4 linked regions of the Schizosaccharomyces pombe genome follow. The protein of the gene in region 3 binds, or shares a complex with, the protein of the main gene of each other region. Each region holds a gene or a part of one and is shown on either strand. Other genes may lie near its edges. The genes, in order: rpa49, rpa12, rpa43 and rpa2.

What was found.
Region 1: rpa43 (region 3) and rpa49 share a complex: the UniProt entries of both Schizosaccharomyces pombe proteins name them as parts of the RNA polymerase I (Pol I) complex.
Region 2: rpa43 (region 3) and rpa12 share a complex: the UniProt entries of both Schizosaccharomyces pombe proteins name them as parts of the RNA polymerase I (Pol I) complex.
Region 4: rpa43 (region 3) and rpa2 share a complex: the UniProt entries of both Schizosaccharomyces pombe proteins name them as parts of the RNA polymerase I (Pol I) complex.

What each region holds. Positions count from the first base shown.
Region 1 is NC_003424.3:3,924,054-3,929,892, forward strand, and holds rpa49 (DNA-directed RNA polymerase I complex subunit Rpa49), read right to left. Parts: upstream 3,227-5,839; 5' UTR 3,208-3,226; coding exon 1,930-3,207; 3' UTR 1,480-1,929; downstream 1-1,479. Other genes in the region: U6 snRNP-associated protein Lsm6, read right to left, coding at 1-26; sec67 (translocation subcomplex subunit Sec72), read left to right, coding at 700-1,278; single-strand DNA-binding protein Rim1, read right to left, coding at 3,728-3,831, 3,916-4,264; SPOM_SPAC2F3.05C (xylose and arabinose reductase), read right to left, coding at 4,756-5,583. UniProt on the Schizosaccharomyces pombe protein: DNA-dependent RNA polymerase catalyzes the transcription of DNA into RNA using the four ribonucleoside triphosphates as substrates. Component of RNA polymerase I which synthesizes ribosomal RNA precursors.
Region 2 is NC_003421.2:1,038,493-1,041,516, reverse strand, and holds rpa12 (DNA-directed RNA polymerase complex I TFIIS subunit Rpa12), read right to left. Parts: upstream 1,418-3,024; 5' UTR 1,385-1,417; coding exon 1,160-1,384; exon of another isoform or gene 915-1,159; coding exon 780-914; 3' UTR 501-779; downstream 1-500. Other genes in the region: Ino80 complex subunit Iec3, read right to left, coding at 4-143. UniProt on the Schizosaccharomyces pombe protein: DNA-dependent RNA polymerase catalyzes the transcription of DNA into RNA using the four ribonucleoside triphosphates as substrates. Component of RNA polymerase I which synthesizes ribosomal RNA precursors. Required for growth at higher temperatures.
Region 3 is NC_003423.3:3,999,873-4,004,913, forward strand, and holds rpa43 (DNA-directed RNA polymerase I complex subunit Rpa43), read right to left. Parts: upstream 1,372-5,041; 5' UTR 1,359-1,371; coding exon 1,091-1,358; exon of another isoform or gene 985-1,090; coding exon 786-984; exon of another isoform or gene 720-785; coding exon 665-719; 3' UTR 595-664; downstream 1-594. Other genes in the region: mnh1 (protein mago nashi), read right to left, coding at 2,006-2,152, 2,222-2,309, 2,352-2,415, 2,467-2,520, 2,593-2,619, 2,672-2,709, 2,756-2,781; ESCRT II complex subunit Vps36, read left to right, coding at 3,440-4,843. UniProt on the Schizosaccharomyces pombe protein: DNA-dependent RNA polymerase catalyzes the transcription of DNA into RNA using the four ribonucleoside triphosphates as substrates. Component of RNA polymerase I which synthesizes ribosomal RNA precursors.
Region 4 is NC_003423.3:2,006,012-2,014,177, reverse strand, and holds rpa2 (DNA-directed RNA polymerase I complex subunit Rpa2), read right to left. Parts: upstream 6,093-8,166; 5' UTR 6,060-6,092; coding exon 2,535-6,059; 3' UTR 2,223-2,534; downstream 1-2,222. Other genes in the region: alp5 (Ino80, NuA4 and Swr1 complex actin-like protein Arp4), read right to left, coding at 1-1,116; mtm1 (Mn(2+) ion transporter), read right to left, coding at 7,203-8,166. UniProt on the Schizosaccharomyces pombe protein: DNA-dependent RNA polymerase catalyzes the transcription of DNA into RNA using the four ribonucleoside triphosphates as substrates. Second largest core component of RNA polymerase I which synthesizes ribosomal RNA precursors.

The sequences.
Region 1 (5,839 bases), on a different chromosome or scaffold from region 3:
AAAAACTCATTAGGAGAAGAATCCATTATCTTCCAGTTGGTTTAGAGAATTCAGCCTTTGAAGGGTTTTCTGTGAGTCGTAAATTGAAGTAGACACCAACTACATTGGTAACCTCAGTTCAGGGTGCTCTTGCATATAATGAAGAATAGCATTATGTGCAAAAATGTATACCGTGCAAGACTACACTACTTTAATATACACTTCGTTGCGTATCACTATATGTGATATGTTGGAATATCAGTTGAGATCTGGTTATTAATAATTATGGGTAACTATCCGCTAACTAAATAAATTTTATTAAAAACACCCTTTAGAACAATTATAAATAGAGGTACAGCTGAATCTCGTTCCTCAGTTTAGTTAAAGCTATATTAATGATAGGTAACAATAGATCGTACATAAAATATTATATATGTCCTCGGTTGCTACTTGTATTACCTGCTTTTTGCAATATTGCAATATAATAGATCATAAAGCTCATTGCAGTTCTACACATCGTTAAAATTAAATAACAAACTGCGTAGTTAGTATTTATGTGTGTTAAAGTATTGTGACACGTTCTGCTAACACTTTCAAGTTTACTACTTGCATTGAACATTGCTTGTCTTCTCTAAATTATTTGTACATAATAATCCATCCGAGCTTTGTGCTTTACATTAAGAGCAGCTTCACTACTTCTTCTTTTAAAACTTTGCTTCGATGGTTGCTAAACAAGAATCGGTGGTTGCACCTCAAGTTGATGTGTCAAAATGGAGTGGGAAGGAATTGGAGTTGGGCAAAAAGGTTAATGAATACGCCAAGTCATTAGCTACGTTTAAATATCCTTTTTTTATTCCACCTCCCTATCCTCCTGCTAAGCCAAATATGGCCTTGTCTACCCAAGTTAATAAGATGAAGCAAACTGCAAACGAGGCATTTAAACGCAAAAAGTATGAGGAGGCAAAAAAGTTATATGGATTAGCATTACAACTCGCTTTGAATCGCTGTACTTGGGAACCGTCGATTCTTACGCGTGAAGAAGCAAGTGTTATGTTGTGTAATCGGGCGGCTGCTGAGATTGCCCTTTCCCAATTCCCCGAAGCTTTAGCAGATGCAAATGCTGCTTTGAAAATTCGAAATAATTATGGAAAGTGTTATTATAGGAAAGCAAAGGCTTTGGAGGCAATGCATCGCATAGAAGAGGCTAAACAGGTTGTACGAGACGGTTTAATTTTGGCAGAGCCAGTTACGAGAAACGAGTTGGTGGCTTTATGGGCAAGTTATACTGAAAAAGATTAAAACCAACTGTATCATGGTTTCAAATGATCATTGGATTTGCACGCTCCTTTTATTTCCTTTCTTTGTGTTGTTTCATATTACCATAAACACTTACGGCCACATAATTAATCCATTTCAAAATTAATACTAACTTGATATTATTGCCAATTCATTTAATGCTCAGGTGATTGTAGCAATTACTGTATACAAAAGACCATCCCCTAGCACATCATAAATACGGTGGTTTTGAACATGAATCTAAGTTTCGATTGTCATTTGTTACCCTATAGTCAAACAACAATGTTATAACTTTCCAAAGGATTTATTGAGTAAAACGGTAACTTTTTTGCTTGAAAGTTAGTTACCATCTAAGTCACCCTTCTTTGCCTTATAGCAAAAGTATTATACAATGCAAAATTTTATTATTTTCTGTACTTCCACTATAATAAAAAAACACCTTTAATCCCGTATTCCCATAAGAAGTTTCTGAAAATTTGTTGGTACTTTATTTGGATATCTCAATGTCGCTTTGACGTCCAAAACAATTATAAGCAGTGGAGATATCGAACATCACGAACTTCAGTAGTTGTTTCTTCTATATATACCGTCCTTCTTTTTTTTTAAAAAAACACACACACATTTTTTTGAAAATAAACAACGCTGTACTTTTCTCTAATTTCTAGCGCGTCCACGTCGAGGTTTAGGGAACTCTAGGGGAATTTTTAATACTGCACGCTTATGATTTTTAGCATCAGTTTTGTTAAGACCTAAAGCCATTCTTTGAGTTTCGGTGTAAGCCATAATTCGACAACCCACCGTTCTAAAAAGCTCATTAGCCTTCATGGTCTTGACATTCAAGTCATTTGCCAAGGTAAGAACATCAGTTGAGTAATTATCAACGATTAAGCACAATACCAGAATATAACATATGATTTTATCAACTTCTCGAGATGATACTTGGACGCTACCAATACCGGTGGTTTGAGTAAAACGTTTAATCAACCCATCAATAAGAATCTCTGGTGGATCAGCCAATTTTTTACGTAAAGTTTCACGGTTGCCCACAGAACGACGAGAAAACAAAAAAGCTTGCAAAAGAGAAATGTAATACAAAATTCTCGCCCGCTTCTGGTCAACCTCCTCAATGGAAAGTAATCGCTGGAAGCGTTCATTAATAAACAAGGAGTGACGGTACGGCAATAATTTGGCCCAATTGCGCTCGTCAGGGTTTTCTAACAGAGGCTTAATGTAAATAGCTGAAAACTCTTCTTTGGGAATAATGTCCTCCAATTTGTATGCATCTTCAATGGATTCAGCACCGACATTGACAGGAGGAATAGGGCGATCTTGCGCTTGAGCAGCAGCGATATCTTCTTGCGTTGGAAGTGCTTCAGTAGCTTTTTGAACATTACTAACCAATTGATCCTTGACATCTCCCAAAGTTTCAGCTTTGACACGATTGGCGGACTCTTCCATAATAGCTTTTTGACTTTTTCTTGTACCAAATGCCAAACCCAAGTTGGCACGCTGTTCCATAACAGTACCGCTTACAGTTCCATGCTTCTTTTTCAAAAATTTGTCCTTCTCCTGAAGTGCCAAAATATTTCTTTCAAAAGTATTAAGATACTTTGCTGGAACAATCTTTTTTACACGACCAGTTTTATCAGCAACAGCTAAACAGTAATTTGCCTCAACCGTAGCCGTTGATTGATTTTTAGCCTCAAATTGAACACGCTCTGTCCTTCCAATTAACGACGCATCTCTGTTGCTCTGATTGCTCTTTTTGAGAAGCTGGAACCGGGTATTTTCGGGTGGATAAAATCCGGAAATTGTCGTGACAAGTGGTGGTAAACTCGATTCACTCAAAGGCAATATCTTAACGGATTTTTCATCACCGGAATGGGAATCTCTATATTTCCGCTTCTTGCCCTTTAACTCGTCACCTGCCATTCCAATAGTGGATGCTGTTGGTAAAAATGCTAGCGCTTAAAGAGCTTTGCTTGTTTGACGAAGTGTAGTGTACAGTCACAGAGGCTGCGAAATCTAACTTAACGAAGTTTGAGGATCAGTCATTAAATGAAAAGAATTAAAGAAACTGAATATTACAAATCGTAGAGTACACTTTAAAATAAAAAAAAATGATTATTAATTTACTGTAAAGGACTAACAAATTTGTCACTTTGAAAAAGAAGGAGTAAAGGTGACTAAGTAATTCCTAGAACGCAATGAAAACATTACAGCAGAGACATTATTGTCTATAAAAACAAATCAGAAGAGCCATGGGTAGATTATTTCCAGCGGAATAATGAAATAAACATCAAATGAAAAATACATAGCAATACCAAGTATGTGCATAATGCAGAGAAAATGAATTAGGAGACTTTTTAAACTCAATAATCCCTAGAAAAATACCACCCAAATATATTAACGGTCTAAAGTGCAGAAAATTTTTAAACTAGAAACACGAATTTTAGAAGCTGTTAATCATAGGATCTGCGTCTAATTCAGGATGAGTCTCTTCTCCGGATTCATCGCCATTTTTGTTACGAGGATAAAATAAAACGTCTGCAGATACTAATAAGAGAGGTTAGTAAATACTATATTCTGTTTTCAAATTTTGCTTCAGGCTTCAACTTGGACCATTGCAATGTTGCGTACCATGTCGCAGGCTCATTTTCGCTTGAGATCCTTCATTTCCAGCTGGGACGGAACGCCAAACAGCATCGGCCTCCACATAAACACGCGTTCCCTTCCTTAAAATAGTTTGAAGTCTGTCGAAATTGTAACTATCGAAAACATAAACCGAGTGAAAGGTAGGGGCTACGTCTTTTCCATTATTGGAAGCTACAGTATAACGCATATATTCGTTTCCTTTTTGAGACTGCAAACGCTCAACGTCTTTTGTTAAATTGCCAGTCAATGTCAAACGTTGAATATCTCTATAACGAACAGTCGATGAAGAAAACAGTCGTTTGGAAAATGCTCTGCTGGATTTTAAGAATAGCATGTTTTTAGTACCTTGAGCTCACAGGAAAGCAATTAATGGAGTCTTATTGTGTGGTGTTGTGGATGAGTGAAGTGCGCATACGTCGCATATACGAAGCGAAAAGTACTTGGAGAAGTGTGTGAATTGATAAAACCAAAGTTAGGGTAGAATTTGCTTTTAATTAGCTACATAGTAAAGAGTCTGAATATATTTCTACCCAAAATGAGCCATTTCCATGAGGTACTTTAGGTTTCTAATAAGTTTACGATACATTATGCTAGCATTTACAAATCAATGGAAGTAATACGAATTTTCTAATCTATGATCGTATATGATAAAAGTAATATCGGATTCATACTAATTCATACTAACAGTCATTGGATGCATGTTTGGTATATAAGCTGACATAAATTGAGTTTCGTAAATTCTATCATACTAGCATATCTAGGGATAGCAGAGGAAATAAATAATAAAATGCATTCTCTGCTCTTACAAGACGATCATTTAACATATTATAAAGGGGAAACGCATGGGTTCCAATCCGAATGATAATCCTCATCCAAGTTGTAGAGCTTCTCCATATCCTCTTTAGATATTTCGAAATCGAAAACGTCGCCATTCTCTTTGATCCTCCTGGGAGTAGAACTCTTGGGAAGTACAATGAATCCACGCTGTAGACAGTATCTAATCATGATTTGAGCCTCAGACTTGTTATACTTGCTAGCAATGGCGAGAAGTTGCTTGTTGCCAAACTTTTCACCATGAACAAGAGGAGCGTAGGCAGCAAGTTGGATACCCTTGGATTCACAGTAATCGACGACTTTTTGTTGGGAGCAAAAAGGGTGAAGTTCGATTTGATTGACACATGGTATAATCTTTGGATGGCTGTCCAACAATTCCTGGATGTGATGAGGACCAAAGTTGGAAACGCCGATAGCACGAAGTTTTCCCTCTTCAACACCTTTCTCCAACGCCTTCCATGATTCAATACGATCACCATAGGGAGAGTGAAGAAGAAACAGATCAATATAGCCAAGGCCACATGCCTTAACACTGGCATCAATACTGCTCAAAGTAGATTTGTACCCACTTAAATCATTAAGCTTGCTAGTGAACCAAATATCCTCTCGTTTCGTACCAGTCTCTTCCATGAACTTAAGGATGGCTCTTCCACAGTCAGCCTCGTTGTGATACATCTGAGCCGAATCGATGTGTCGATATCCGCATTGAAGGGCAGCATACACCGAATCGAAGCATTTTGTACGATTCACCATGTAAGAACCGTAAGCAAATTGAGGGCACTTAAGTCCATTGTTTAACTTAACAAATGATCCCAACATAATGTATGAACAAAAAAATAAAATTAAATTAAAAGAAAAAAGTCAAAAATTAATGAACGAGGAAATTGATAATTATTCAATTAAGCAATCAACGAGATTCAGCAAAATTGAATATAACCAAGCTGTTTTTCAATGCTATTGAGTATTTTTGAAATATTCAATATTTTCAACTACCAAAGAAAAGAACGTTATAAATTCTTTTCACTAAAATGGTATTGCTAACCCGACATGCGAACAACACAGTACTATTTATACC
Region 2 (3,024 bases), on a different chromosome or scaffold from region 3:
TACGCATTTTCTAATAAAATTCTGCGATAAACTTCTGATATTTCAGCAATCTTTTGTTCAATTTCCTCTGTTTCAAGGACTACCGAATCAAATGACTTTCGAAGTTTTAAATATTTTCGTTTAAAGGATTTAACAGACGCCATATGTGAAAAGGCAGGTGAGAATATATTTCAAATGGTTGAACACCTACCTGCCCATTTGGGCTCTTGAGTGTTACGGTACATAGTACGCTCCATTTCGTTACACATTCATTTCCATATTAGAGAAAAAGAAATAAATAACCGATATACTACTATTCATAAAATGCTGATAAACATTGAAACTCAAACTCTTTAAAAATTCTGAGAAAGGAAGTATCCACAGGTTCAATCGTGATAGACAATGAATTTTCTCTATTTAGTTTGAACCAGGAAAGACAATAATGAATAAAGGAATAAGTTATACCATATTATTTTTTAAACAAAAAGTAACCCCGAAAAATAGAACCAACAAGAACAGAAGAACTGTTATTTTTTTTAACACCTGGATAAAATAGAAGACAAAACAAGAAAATCGGATATCAAGAGCATCTCTTTCTATTTCATGAACGTTGCCGTATTACTAGACAAATAAAATTTATCGAGCATGAAAATAACGGAAGCAGAAGGACAATCGAAGATATTAAAAACAATAGTCTTCATACAAATCAGTCAGCATACATACATGAAGAACGGCGTAAGAAACAGTGAAATATTGAGAAAATCACAACCAAAAGAATGATTAACAGATGAAAACTCAATCTAATTGTTTGTACTAAATTTATAAGCACATCGAGGACATTCGTAAAACACCGTAGAACCTTCATCAGCAGACCTCAATTGCAAAGTATGGAAAGTCATATGGTCGTTTCCACATTTTGGACATTTTTCCTCAATCTACAAAACTTTGTTAGTATGGCAATAAACCCAAAAAAGGACTATGATAAAGTCCTTTGCCTGACTGTGCCGATTTTTCAATTCACTGGATATATGATACAAAAAAGTTCCTTGATTAGACTCTCCTAATGCATTCTTAAAAAAAAAAAAGTTTTCCAAATGATACAAAGCCTAAAAGGAAAGAAGAATGACAACCAACATGAAAAAAAGGATTCGAAAAGAATAGACAAAAATAAGTTACATACCGTTGCTGCCTCCTCCTTCTGAGATTCTACTTGAACGATACTGTGCTTGAGTTTTAAAGCAGAAGGAAAAGCACTTGCACTACTCTTCGTTTCCACTACCAAATTGGCAAATTGCTCAGAAGGATAAACGGATTGACACTGATCACAAGTAGTCCATTGGGCAGTAGTCGATTCCAACAAGTTACCGCATTCTGAGCAAAATATCAAAGACCCTATTGCCGACATTGGGATTCCTCCTTGCTTGATGGGGAAGGCACTGGTGTTTATGACAAGCTAGTTTGTCTTTGACAAGTGCAATTTTCTTTCGCTGTAACTCATTATTTTGCGGTAAGTGATGGAAAAGCGAGTGTATCATTATCGTAAAAGCCAATACACACTGTGAGCGACTATGATCAGTATAGTGCCTTAATTAGTAAACAATAAGCTAGAGATGAGTAAACGAATTTCCTGATCTATTGATGAACATTATGCTAAAGGCATAAATTACAGACATTTAAAAATCATTCGTTTTTGTAAAGAAATTACTTATTGATAAATCAACCTTGGAATTCCAAGTTGGGGAATTTAAAAAGCTTTCTCGGGAAATTTCACCTATATAAGTATTGTATCGTTGTTTCTGGAAAAAATTCGGTAAGAAAAATTTCTTTGTATTTTTTCAAGCATCAACTAATTGTTTGAAGCTATTTCTTGCTACTTTAAAATTTTGTTGCCCAAACGATTTTTGTCTAGCTGGGCAATACTTTGTTCAAATACAAAGCCTGTCACGGAATACAGAACAAGATTTGTGTACATATATACTAGCGACTTTCAAAATCGTTGTACCTTATAAATTGTGCTTTTGATTATTTAACAAATTCTTCCTTATCTCAAAAGAAAATTATTTTGCTTGATTGAATCATCAATTTGGAAATCATATTTTGCACTTTAGGTATTTTAATCGTAATTTATGTGATAAGCTTGGAAATAATAAAAAATATAAGAATAATAAAAATTTAATTTGTCTGTACGTTGCAACTATTACATGTACAACAGAAAAGCGAACAGATAAATAACAAAATGCAAAAAAAATACTACTAAATAAAAGAAAAAACAAATAAATTCAAAAGATATAGCATTAATAAGAAAAGAGATCACCAAAAAAAAAAGAATCATATTCACGATTTCAATAAAAAGGTCTGTGTATTTTCTACAAAGGATTTGGCATTATACTTACTATTATGTGTTTTCCACTACTTGAGCGTTTCAAATCCATTATGGTTTTGAAAGCGCCTTTGTCTATAACCGCCATAACCCAGTCCATCTGTATAGGGCTCGCTTCCGTATTCCTATATTATGCAATGTAAGGTTGATTTTCTATTTTGGTAAAACAGAGATGAATATGGCATGTTTTTACTAGTGAGATTATTGTGCTGTACCCGACGATTGACAACAGTGGGACTTGTTTGCTCTAGTTATTTAGAAGCAAAAATTTTTTTCCTCATATCTCTCTCTCTTTCTGGGGTAGTCCTTTTTGGAAGAGTGCAACGTGACATAGTCTATGGGATTGTAGGCAACAAAAATGTATAGGAAGAGTTATTGTTGCTACATAATGGAAATTACTTAGTGAGTACCATATCTTGTCGGTGAAAATGGATATTTACTTTGCCGATCATTGCGTAGCTCGGTTTTTGCCAAGGAAAGAAACAAGTAAACCAGTTTGGTAAAGAAAAAGGATGATAAAAAAGGTTAGAGATTTTAAGCGTATCTAAATAAAGGTAAGATACTTTAAAAGTACGTTAAAATCTGTGTCTTGTAAAATTTCCATTTGTAGAATTGTTGCATAAGGATGGAGTACCACTGCTTTAGTATAGTTATACGTAACCATG
Region 3 (5,041 bases):
CGGAGATCAGTGTTAATTAGCGTATCTAAATTGTCTGAAATTATTTATTGCACTCTAAAGTGATCAAATTAATTCATATTGCTTAATGATCAATTTGAGATAATTGAAAAAATTTTATTATTGATGTTATTATTAAAATACAGAAAAACAAACGTGGTAATAAAACTTAAGCTTATTTGTCTAAGCATTGATGTGTTATAAGTAGATCTCGATTTATTTAAAGAAGATATTAATCCTTCACCTGACGTATTAAATCAAATAGTGCTTTTTGAAGATTTTAACCAATTATTTTGTCAATAAATTGCAGGCTAACTGGCTGTCCATAAGTTATATTAAACTGTCGAATTTATAAATAAATAGTTCCAAACGCTTGGGTTGTGGAAAGCATTCAATGTCTATATGCAACAAATTGAAAATGAGAGTATCACTAGATGAAATCAAAAGTCTAGAAAAAAGATAACTATGAATTATCATTCATTTCATTCCTTAAGCTTAAATCAACAATTGCCTACTTTTATAAAATCATACAATTGAAAGTACATACACACCGCTTCAAAATAACTTACTGTTTAGTTTTAGCGCGATTCTATAAACCGGAATTTCTTAGGCAAATATCCATAATCATAAGTAACCAATCCTTTTGTATTTTGAATATAAATACTTATTATGAATTTGCTAGCGTCCCTTGAACCATAGTCAACCCAGCTTCTCTTTGTATACTAGATTAACTGTTAGTCATAATTTAATCAAACTTTAGTTAAAACAGTATATAGTTTACGACATACCCATCTACTACAAACTCCAAATCTTTACCAGGCTCCAGAATATTTCCATCATTTGTCTTCCAACGACCTTGTTCTTCCGTAGTATCGGGCTCAATAAAAATCCAATCTTTAGGTATAGATTTTCGCGGAATAGATGCATTAAAAATACCCAAAATTAATAGACCAATATGACTTGGACTGACTAAATTAATTTTTCCTTCTAGTGATAGTTAGCATTTATTTTGGAGTTGGTATAAAATTTTGCACGACTGAATTATCATGATACAAATCCATCATAGAATCTCGAATTTCTAAGCATTTCATACCTAAACAATCGCCTTTTTTGGGAGAAAATACTAAAACGTCTACACGGACCCATATAAAGGAGAATGGGGAGTCATACATGACCTTTGCACTTTTTTCCAGGAATCGAATATTGTCGTACGCCAACACTATTCCATTGATTCTTGGGAGTTTGCTAAGAATCATACTATCCATATGCTCCTGAATAGCATTTAAAGGATCCCTGCTGTGTCCAGGAGCAATGGAAAGGTATAAATCTACAGTCTGTTTGTAGAGTGATAAATCCGGCATGTTGGCGGAACGCAAATTTCCTTCATCGACTGCATCCAGTTTTACAGATATGTTCAAGGGTAAACAAAGCTCTTCAATTGATCAACCAAGGTCATATATAACATATCATGTCTTCGAGAAAGGTTAACAGCTAAATAGGCGATACTATGGCATCAATAGAAATGCCAATTCTGTAAATGACACCATGTCACTACAGTGCTCAAGACATTGAAATTTTTTTTTTAATTACAATAAGAAATACTTTACCTTTTTTTTCTCTTATTTAAATGAAGAATATTATTGAGACAAAATAAGTGAATCGCTCATTACTATACAAATAGTGTCTATTTAATATAGCTAAAATTATTTCAAGATTTTTTTGATATCTTATTGAAAAAAAGATTTTGTAACGCGACTACCATGGAATGGTTGCCATATTCTAAGATGTTCCCAAATAAATAGTCAATTCTTAACCGCTTATGATATGGAATTAAAAGTGCAATACGGTTAATTTAGCATAAAAACTGAAATTCCTTCCTAAAGCTCGAACGTTTTTCAGCTTTGAGACTGTACATTTAGAAACGAAACAAAGGTAATCAAACCCAAATAGTAAACCAATGTTTCACATAAAACTTTTTCGCCCTAATATATAAGAAAATGGAATGCATCTAGTTTTTAACAGGTCGGAGCTTAAAATTTAGGGAGATGAGACTAAAGCACAATGCTTTTAAATCTTGAATTAGGTAGTAGAAAACTTTTAGCCCTTCTGGATCATCACTATTTTGAACGTCTGCCAAACTTCCAAGTTTACAGGTCTAGTAGTTTATATTAGCTTAAAAGTATCTAGAATGAATATATTTATGCCAAATGAAGAGCAATCTTACTTCAAACATGATGTGTTTTCCATTCATACGAATTTCAAGTTCCTGCTTACCATCTTTATTTTCAGGTGGCCAACTTTCATCTGATTCTCTAAATAGTAGTTAGTATAAAAAATTGAAAGAAATGACTTGCTTTATGATCTCACTGTCATCTACAATACGTTGAACTTCTTTTAAAACAAGCTCACTGACGAACACTTTAAGGCTTTGTTAATACGATCGAACAGAAATGTAGTACTAAAACATACTCTCCTTTCGGATTAACGAATCGTTCCGATAGTTAGAATTGTTTGCGTATCTAGCTAATTGAATTAGTATTCATGTCAAACCACTGTTGCTAATATGAATCAGAAAATTGTTGACTCTATTCATACCTAGCCCATCACTATGATAATCGAATTCTAGCAAATGTTTGGTTAGCTGCGCGACCTTGCGTCTAATATTATCGCGTACCCAAGAACTCGTGTCCGAATCGACCATGGTGTCCCGAGCTTCAGTCAGTTAGCATTCAAAACTATTTACAGCTTTTTTGCATACTAGTATCGAACATAAAAATCACTCATTTTCGAGCAAATAGGAATATGATGGCTTCGATGACTACTGCTGAGAGGTAAACTCTTGGTCAAAGATACGAAGCATATAGTGATTCACTATTTTAAATAACACAATACACTAGTGCATCCAATTTTTGGAGCTCGACAATCAAAGTTCGTGGGTAATTCAATATACAGTGTATCTTTGATGAATTCGTTGACATTATATATTGACTGCTAAGTCTATATCTGTAAATCAAAGTCTTTTAATTCCTTAAAGGCTTTTTCCAAATTCAGGTTAAATCTTGACAAGTTATTTTTCTGGGACCTTTTAACGTTCCACGACTTATTTCACTGCATTTACAAAAGTTATTCTGGCACTGTTGCATCTTTTATCGCTAGTTTGTGATCCTTGGGTTGTTTTTTATTAAGACTACGGTTTGATTTTTTTATTGTAACATATTAAATCGAGCTTTTGACAGGCTTCATTTATGTTATTTATATATCGACATTCACAGCTGTCATCCAAAAATATTTTTTTTAAAGGTAGCTAAATAAAGCGAAAGTCGTACTCACAGATTATCTCAAATCAATTGTTGGTCTCGACTAGTTAACCAAGGCACATGACATGTTATATAAGTTTTAATTCACTTGACAATTATCATTTTGGTTAATCTCTCCTTCTAATATGGCCTTTTATTTAGAAACAACCCCTTCTAATCTACCGGTTTTGGATCCTTCAGAAGAAATTTTGCTAGTTCAAGACCAGGTAGGTTTATACTTCGGAGATGAGAAAAGTTTTCGTCATAATAATGGAACATTATATTTGACAAAAAAACACATCTTCTACGTAGATTCAGTAGATCCTAAAAAGAATTCATTAAAAATTAAAATCTCCGATATAAGAGATGTACAGCATACCTCTAGGTATTTTCGCTCCTCCCCAAAAATTCGCCTTTCTCTGCGACATGTGGAAAAGTCATGGGCTTGCAAAATTTGTACATTTATCAATGTGGGTGATCCCATTAATCCTTGTAGAAACTGTGGAGTTGCTAACCGATTTACTATTATAAAGCCGAAATCAGATGCGCGTTTTTCTCAAGGATTATGCACCGCGTGTACTTTTCAAAATTATCCGGATCTGAATACTTGTGAAATTTGCGGCAATCAATTAAAAAATGTCGATAGAAACCAGCTTATACAACTCTCGTTTAGAGGCTCGGGTTCATCCAAGTTTTACGAAGCTATCAAATCTGAAACAGATGAAATAGAAAAACAAAGATACTCGAATAAATATGATACTAAAGTTCTGAGGAAGGCCATCCTTGAAAAGTCTTTGCGAATGGGTGGTATTCATGATCTTGAGCAATCTCATGAGATGCAATTAGCCAAAAATGGACGTACCTTAGTACATGCGTTTCAAGATTTAGATGCTTTTTTTTCTTTAGCGAAAGATACTATGTCTCTGGCTGACCAATTTGCTGAAAAGATGGATGGGCTGACCGGCACTCAACAGTCTGACAAGGTACAGCAGCTTTTAAACAAATCGAATCAGTTAGGAGTGTTACGAGGAAATCATTTAGATAATGTTCCTGTTTCGGCTAATTCTCGATTGTATGATATTGAACTATGTAAAAGTATCTCAGAAGTTTTACGCACAAGGTTAAAAGCTGATACCGATACGGTTACCATGACCCAGGCTTGGGCCATCTATAATCGGTCAAGAAAAGCAAACCTGATTCCTCCGACCAGATTTGTGAAGGCTTGTGAACTAATAGATTCCATGGAGGTTGGTATAACAACGTCCAAAATGAACTCTGGGCTTATCCTTTTTCAATTAAAAACTTCTAATCATTCAGGAAAACTTTTGTCCGCTATATTGGAAGTTATGAATCCTAGCACTACGGCTTTGAAATGTGCAATGAGGTTGCATTGGTCCATTGGTGTAACGTTAGAAAGACTTTATCAAGCTGAGATGGACGGTTACATTGTACGTGATGTTTATGAAGAATCTGGTTCTAGCTTACTATACTGGAAAAACGAATTTGACGAATTATCAGAAGAATTGACTAAATGGTTTGATGAATCATAGGAATAATAACTGTACACTATCTAATTAATATTCATTCCTTTTAACATTGTATTTTTCTTTCGCTTTAGTAGATTCCTCTCTACACACGCCTTAATTAATATGACTACCTGTTATGGGTATTCGATTCCCAACGTAACCATTTAATCTTAACCTACACCTATTTTATTTTTAATTCATTTGAGAAACTGTTTACACGAT
Region 4 (8,166 bases), 2.0 Mb from region 3:
TTTTGAAAGTTCATTTTGCAGACGAAGAGAGAATCCTTGCATCAAACTAGTGCCTCCACAAACAATAACATTGTTGAGCAAAGAAGCACGGATATCAACATCGCATTCCGAAATACAGTTCTGGAACAACTGAGGTATCCCCAAAATGCGAGAAGAAGTGTTGGTAACCGAAGAATCTTGTTGTGATACCTCATTATTTTCGGTTTGTTCTATTGGCTTCGAAGGTTCCTCGTTCATTTCTTCATCACTTCCTGGCACAAACAAATGTTCAGGAATTTGATAGCGTTCCGCGCCAAACATCATACGGGAACCGTCTGGAAATTCGAACTCTGATTCAGCAATCGTGGTTTCAGATGAAAATGGAACATCGGAAATGAGAGCACATTCTTCTTTCCATTCATCGTAGACTCGCTGGACCTGAAATTGATGATAAGAATCTGTAGTATCACGAGGACGTAACTCACAATTAGCTGGCTGCCCTATCTCCACTGGATTTTTGCTTTTCACTAAGTACTTAGGCATCACTTCGAAATTCTTATCCCTGAGAGTTTGCGCCAAAATATCGTTAATTGCATTCCCAGAAAAATGTTGAACCTGATAGCCTTTTTGAAGCACAAAACCATCATATATAGCAGACACCGAGCTACGCTCCGCACCAATGTCTACTAAACAAGCAGTACCTTTCCCGCTTGCAAACGCCGCACACGTCTCCTGCTTGGCGAGGTATGTTGCAGGACAACGCAAAGATTCAAACATCGTTTCTAGTGTTTTCACTCGATTTTCTGGGGGATTATCAAATGGTTCCGTAATCAAGATTGGATGCTCTAAAGGATTAGTCTTCAACTGCTGCTCTAATCCATAACGCCAGAGATCTACAGTAACATCCCAATTTTCAACCCAACCATTACGAATTGCATTTTTTATTTCCATTCCAGGGTTTGATTTATATATGTATTCCTCACCGAACAACCGTCTGCCATCACTGAACTCTCCACAGTAGCTAGGGAGTACGCATTTGGGAATATCTTCTCCAGAAAAACCTATTCGAGTCCATTTGCTTCCAGGATCAATTACAATAGCTGAAACTTCATCTCCGCCATAAAATGCGCTAGTCATCTTACCAGCAGTACAGTTTGTCTACGTGATAAGATTCTCAGGCAAAAGTTGTCGTTGGCACTTGGACAAGACGCATCGTTGAGATCATGAAATAGGTCGCCAACGGCTTTTCTTAAAAATACCCATCACTCTTTCCTATTTTATTTAGTTGGTTTAATTAATTAAAAATAAGACTTTCATTTAGAAAAGTGTGCATTCTTTAAGCATTCATGCAACGAGAATGTCGCTAATTTTCAAGCTTTTAATAGACGCGTCAAGTAAACTAGGTTTTCAAAAATAAGCATTCATATGAAAGATTGGGCTCATAGCACAAAAAAAAACAATTGTACAAGAAATCCACAATAGTTGAAAAGATAATTATTATGCTCCTAATAAACAAATTCATTTAGTGATTTTTTGAGTTTTTTGCTATAGTCAGCTACGCAGTTTGGTATATATTTAACGATACATAGAATTACGGTGAGTTTCTCTTACGACTTACAATATAGCGGTATGCAGTATGTTAACTAACAATGTATATTTATTGTTATATGAAGTCTATTAATATCGGTTGCCGAAATAGCGTTACAGCCGAACCTCGTTCCTCAGTTCAGTTATGAGCTATATTAGTGATAGGTAACATTATAACCCAGTTAATACAATACCTATACTCAGTTGCTACTCATACAACCTGTGTATTGTAATATAATAGATCACAAGGAAAACTCACCGCAGTTCTACGTATCCTTAAATCAGATACCAAACTGCGTAGCTTACACACTATACTAAATATCGGTTATCTAATATAGTATAATGAAGCACAAAATACAATTTAGCGTGGGTTTCTGTAATTCGTCATTATGCTGCTCTTAAATGTGAACCATGCGAATAGGTATTTTTTATAATTGAGTGCATAGATTTTCTGTAGTTGAGCTGTTCTTAAAATTATAAGATATCAATTCTCTTTTCTCCATACGAATGTGTGCTCACGAATTTGCATCAGATCTCAACCTCTGATTAATCTGCTTCTTTGAACATTCGATCACTCTTTGGTATCAAGTATCTATTAACCAATATATAATACAATTTAAAGCAAAAAGACATCTAATAATAAACTTTTTCTTGTCAATTATGTCTTAGCCGCTTCTTAATCAAAAAGATAAAAATCAATCAATTTATTATTAGTCCACCTAGACCTACCTTTATAGTTTTCTATATAAGTTTTTTTATTAACTCTTCCCCCAAAACAATAAGTAATTTTATATGCAAAACGTAATCCGAAGCAAAAATCAGAAACCTGTTGCGAAAGAAAACAGAATCAAATGGAACTGAAAATACACACATCACCCATGGCATTTTGTCAGTCCTTTTAAAAAAATTTTTTTTAAAGAAGTTGAAAGCGAATATATTAATTTCAATACTCTTTTCAACACTTTAATCTATTTAACTTCAAGCATCATTTTAATATTCATAGCAGTAAGTTCCGCCGTCAAGTAATTGAAAACACTGGGTAATGCGATCAACGTAGTATTTGTGCCGCCGACAAATTTCTTTCCGCTACCATCCTGCCAAATGTCACTGGTATCTTCCAATCCCAAAGCGGGTTTGGCACAGCTTCTGCACCTGACTTCTGAGGCACTTCCTACGCCATTCATCGAAATTGTAGACATGATAGAAATAATAGACCCACAATCTCGACAAACCCAGCTCTGGGCATAATCAGAACAATTCATTAAACGATCCTGCATCAAGAACGATGTGCCATGACCGATAACAGCATCACGTTCCATTTCACCGAAACGAATACCACCAGCACGTTTGCGACCTTTGACGGGTTGACGAGTAAGATTATGAATGGGTCCGGTTGTACGTACTTGAAATTTATCACTAACCATATGGCGAAGACGTTGATAGTAGACAACTCCAATATAAATATCAGCCTTCATCTCCTGTCCTGTGATACCACTATACATAGGCTCGTTTCCATGATAGTTGTAACCAGCCTTAACCAATTGTTCGCCAAAGTAGTCAGCAGCAGTTTGCTGCTCAGAATAGATAAAGGGTGTGCTGTCTTGAGCCAAGCCATGGCAGGCGCCAGCTTTACCAGCTAAACTTTCAATAAACATACCAATTGTCATACGAGAGGGGAACGCATGAGGATTAATAATGATATCAGGTTGCATTCCGCTTTCTGTAAACGGCATATCGACAGTGGGCCACTTTTGTGAACAAATACCCTTTTGTCCATGTCTAGAGGAAAATTTGTCACCAATAATCGGACTACGGGTAATACGAAGCTTAACATGAATTTGCTGACACTCGGAATCACCAACATCATTACCAAGGAGTCTAACTTCGTCAACAAAACCAGGCTCAGTACCGTGATAGGTTTCAATAAAATTTTGACCAGTAGATTCATCATAGTAAGCGACAATGGGATCTCCATCCTCAAGTTTAATTCCAATAAAAGGTAACCCGTCGGCGTCTAACTTTTGCAACCATTCGCGACGAGGCGTTGAACCGGGAGCAAAACCAAAATGGTGAACGACTGGTTCACCTCTGCGACGCTTTTGGGAAAGGTCAAAAGATTCACCCTTATATACAGTACCATAACCAAAACCACGCTCATGAGCAGATTTATTCAAAATCATAGCATCTTCCATATCGTAACCAGTGTATGAGATAACGGCAACAACAGCGTTTGTACCATTTGGATAATGATCGAGGCCATAGGTATTGTGAAGCTTAGGACGAACAACTGGTGTTTGTCCTGTTTGAAGACGATAAAGTTTGTTGTCAGTACGATAACGAAGGGCCGTACCAGGCGTACCCATAGTTTGTTTACCCATCTGACATTGATACATGTTACGAGGAGACTGGTTAAAGTCTGAGAATGGAGTCATATTGGCAACGATGGAGAGTACATTTGTGGGCGAATACTCTACATGAGTAGAAACTTTAGGAACGATTTCTTTAGGGAAACATGCAATATCCATGTAAACTTGCTCAAATGGACCAAGCATATCAAGTTCACCAGTAGAAATGTGCTTAACCGGTCGAACCATCCTTGCAGGATTGCTAAACAGATAAAGACCTGGATATTGCCCGTTATGAGACGGAGGCACATATCCAATTTCCAAATCTAAAGGGACCTTAGCAGGTTCAGTGGCAGTTCCATTACGCAACTTGACAGCATATTCAATTTTCATTAAACGTAGCACATCAGCAACGTGCTTAGCAAGTTTGTAAGTACACCAACCAACAATCTTTCCATCCAATTGTACGCATCCCCAACCAGATTCATGACCAACTACACTTGGAGGATCAACACCCAACGATAGCAAAAGTGATGGGATTTGACTTACATCAGAAGGATGGGTGACAATTTCACATTTTCTAGCCAAATGGTTTAAAAGACCACATGGAGAACCATCGGGTGTGTGAACTGGACACATGAAACCCCAAGCTTCAGGAAGCAATTTACGGACAGTAGTAGTTTTAAGCTCAGCAAAAAATGCACCACGGTGTACCATTCGAAAATGTGAAAGAAAGCGGTAGAAGTTCAACTTCTCGGCGACAACAGTGTAACCTGTAGCTTGTTGTAAATCAAGACCAGTATTGGAAACAAGGTTACCGGTACTCAAGAAATATTGTAATTTCGTTCCGATGTCATTGTTAATTTTAGAAAAGACACGGGTCAAGTATTTACGATCGGAGAAATCAACACCAGGCGCTGAGCGTCGAACATCCAAATTAATTTGAGCGCGGATGCTATTTAGCCAATCCTCAATCTTCTCCTTAAGAATTTGACCATAAAGAAAACCACCTAATAAAATTTCCTGATGTTGTGGAGAGTCAGGGTTATCGGCACAGCACTCTCCAGCTACAAGTGCATATAACTTGCGGATCATAAATAGGAGAAGGCGGAATTTATCCTTAGCTTCACGAAGGTGAACTAAAACAACCTTTTGTAAGAGAAAGCGGCCAACTTCAACATCAGTTAGGTCTTCAGCAACGCCGAGAACAACACGAAATTTGCTACCCAAATACTGAAGTGTTTCAGTTTGGGAGTAAAGACCATAGGACTTATAAGCTCTAAGCATAAGCTCAACACGATCCGTCAAGAAAGTATTTCCCAAATCTTTACCAACAATGCCCTCAAAAATTTCTTTATCGCTGGTTTCTAACAGGGCCTTAAGAATCATCATCGAAGGAATTAAATATTCGTTTTTACGCCAGTGAAAACGAAACATCGTAACACCATTGTTAAGATAATGAAGGGTGTTGGTTAAACTAGACTGGTCTGGACGGACACAACGAATAGATAAACCATACTGTGAGTAGCTAGTACCACGATTGGCAAAAGAAGGGCGAATGATGGCAGTAGGATGATTGCGCTTAGGTAAAATTAACATACGAATCAACTTCTCAATACCGTTAACGATAAAGTAACCGCCCATCTCTTCGCTCTCCTCTTTATGAGCAATAAGTTCGGCAGGAGACAATCCTTCCAGATGACATCTGTTGGACCGTACCATGATGGGAATCATGCCTACTTCACGCATTTCTGATTGTCTAGGGCCTCCATTGACACTCCATGAGAATTTAAGAACCAATCTTGATTTATAAGTAGTCAAACGCTCTCTGGCTTCAGCAGGGTAGACTTTGCGGTTAATAGAAGACCTTTCACGACTAGACAACATTGGCTTCGCAATTTGAACCTCATCAACGCGGAAGGAAATCTTATTTCCAAATTTCAATGCACCACCTTCTTCTTGTGTGATCGAGTCAAATGCACATTTCTCACCAATTTCCTTAACAGCATAGTTGAGTAGTCCGGCATTAGTAAGGGCGTTAAAGGAATCAACATGAGGTTTTACGGCCTTTTGCAAATCTGGAAAGCTCGTTCCGTCCTTGGGCGGATTTTTAAACGTCCTTTCTCGCTCTAACGTTTGGAATGACATCCCAGGTTTGCAGAGAAAATTTTGGCGGAGGACACCTGCTATATTCATACTAAATTGAGCGTTAAGCGAACACTTAACAAGCTTTAATGAAAAGCGGTAAAATGGTTTAAACATTAAGGCGCTGAAGTGCGGAATATGCAATAGTATAGCGTTGTTCATTCCACTGCCTAATTCAATTCTAATAGTAAATCGCTTTTTGGGTAGTGTTCTTGCTTGATTTTATTAATGAACGACTATCCATTGTCTTTGAAGAGTAATAGAAAAGGTAAAGTGTTATCGAAAGTGTACTCACTGTACGCTGACAGATAAGTTGGTGATCGACGCTACTAATATTTGATTTATACCGCAATTGAAGCTATAAAGAATTTGTTTATTGATATTTTAGAATGTCTCCTGCAAGTCCTTACTTGTTGCTTATCTCAGTAAATTCAAGAAGAAAAGCTTAAACACAAGTAACCATTGCCCTGTTACAGTTCATATCACCGATCAGTTGAATGAAACCTAATAAATATTTAATTTGCTTTGTCTTAGTATCTTAAAAAAAATCTTGTTAAAGGGCTTTTTTTTATCACTTTCAATATTTATTTTAGAAATAATTTCGTTATATACGATTCTAGTCTAGTCAATTCATATAAAATAAACGGATAACAAAAGCTCCCACTTTAAAAATCGCTTTCTTCAAAGATCTAAACTTTTTGGCCCGAGCTGTTTCTGCTTTTCAATAACGGAAAAGAAAAACATTGAATAAAATATATGTATCCTCAACCATTGAAAAAGCTTTTAAAAAGAACAACAATGGGTATATAATGAAAGCATTAGCTTCAATGTCTGGTAAAAACATAGCAAGCTTGTTCTACTATGGCTTTATTTTAGAGACTAATATCAGAAATTAAAAAATATTAATTTTTAGTTTCTACGCTTCGTAAATTAACCCAACCTATTTTACTTTCAAGACTCTTTCGATTTGCATTTTTGAATCCTGTATTATAGTAAACATATAGACTACAAATAGAAATGGAGTTGCGAGAGGGGAATTATCAACATAAATGGAATCCTGTAAGAAAAGAGATGAAAACATTAAACCGAAAAAAAAAGAACAAAGGTTTCATCAAGCCAACCAAAACCTGAAAATCAACGTCTAAATTAATAAGCATCAACAGACTCAGAAAAGTACTTTTTAGTTAAATGATAACTTGAAATCATGATTGCACAGGACGGTGCAACTTTAACACATCTAGGCAACGTGCCTTTCCACAAGGCCTTGGGACCACCTCGCTTCCATAAGGTTAACATAAACTGACCTCTGGTTAACGTATGTCCATGCACCTGCTTAGCAGTTTTTGATACATCGAAAGGTTGAGTTAATAGGGTTGCTAGAGTCCCACTAATTCCTCCGCTCACAAAATTGATATAGAGGTCCTTTGTAGATTGAGAGCTGGAAAATGCTTGAAGTGATGGATGCCCAAGCAGGAAGAGTCGAATTCTCTCATACGACCACCAGTAAAATGCACTGAATGGTACATCTCTCCACAACGTTACGCTGACACCGCTCCATAAATTCAGTATACCTTTTTGATGAATCATTAATTTCAATCCATCAAAGACCTCATTAGCAATCTCGCGCGCATGGCCGGGCGGATAATGGCCGCCTACTGCTTGCACTCGAGTCCTGAATAATTCTATAGGAGACACAATAGTAGCAGATATTGTGCGCGCAGATGCTCCTGCGATTGCAGCAGCAGCAGGAAAGCCCCAATCACTGTATAAGGGAAGTAATTGCTCATACCCAAGAAACTGTACAGTGTTTGCTGGCAAGAGCATTGTCAATGAAGGAACTAATCCACGCCACAAGCTTCTAACACCTTCATGCCGAGCGATCTGATAAAGTCCGGATACCGGGCCTCCTAAAGGCTTTGGAGCTGGCCTTCCCTTCCCCAATATCTTTGCTGAAGAAATGGGTTGCGTAGAAGAATATTGAGAAATAGATTCACTCTGCAAGCGGGTTTTCACAACATCTAAAGGCGTTACAGTCAGCGTTGTAATTACACTTCCTACACAAGCTGACAGCATTTTCGCTATAGGCTTCACATCGGGCTCAGCATTCACC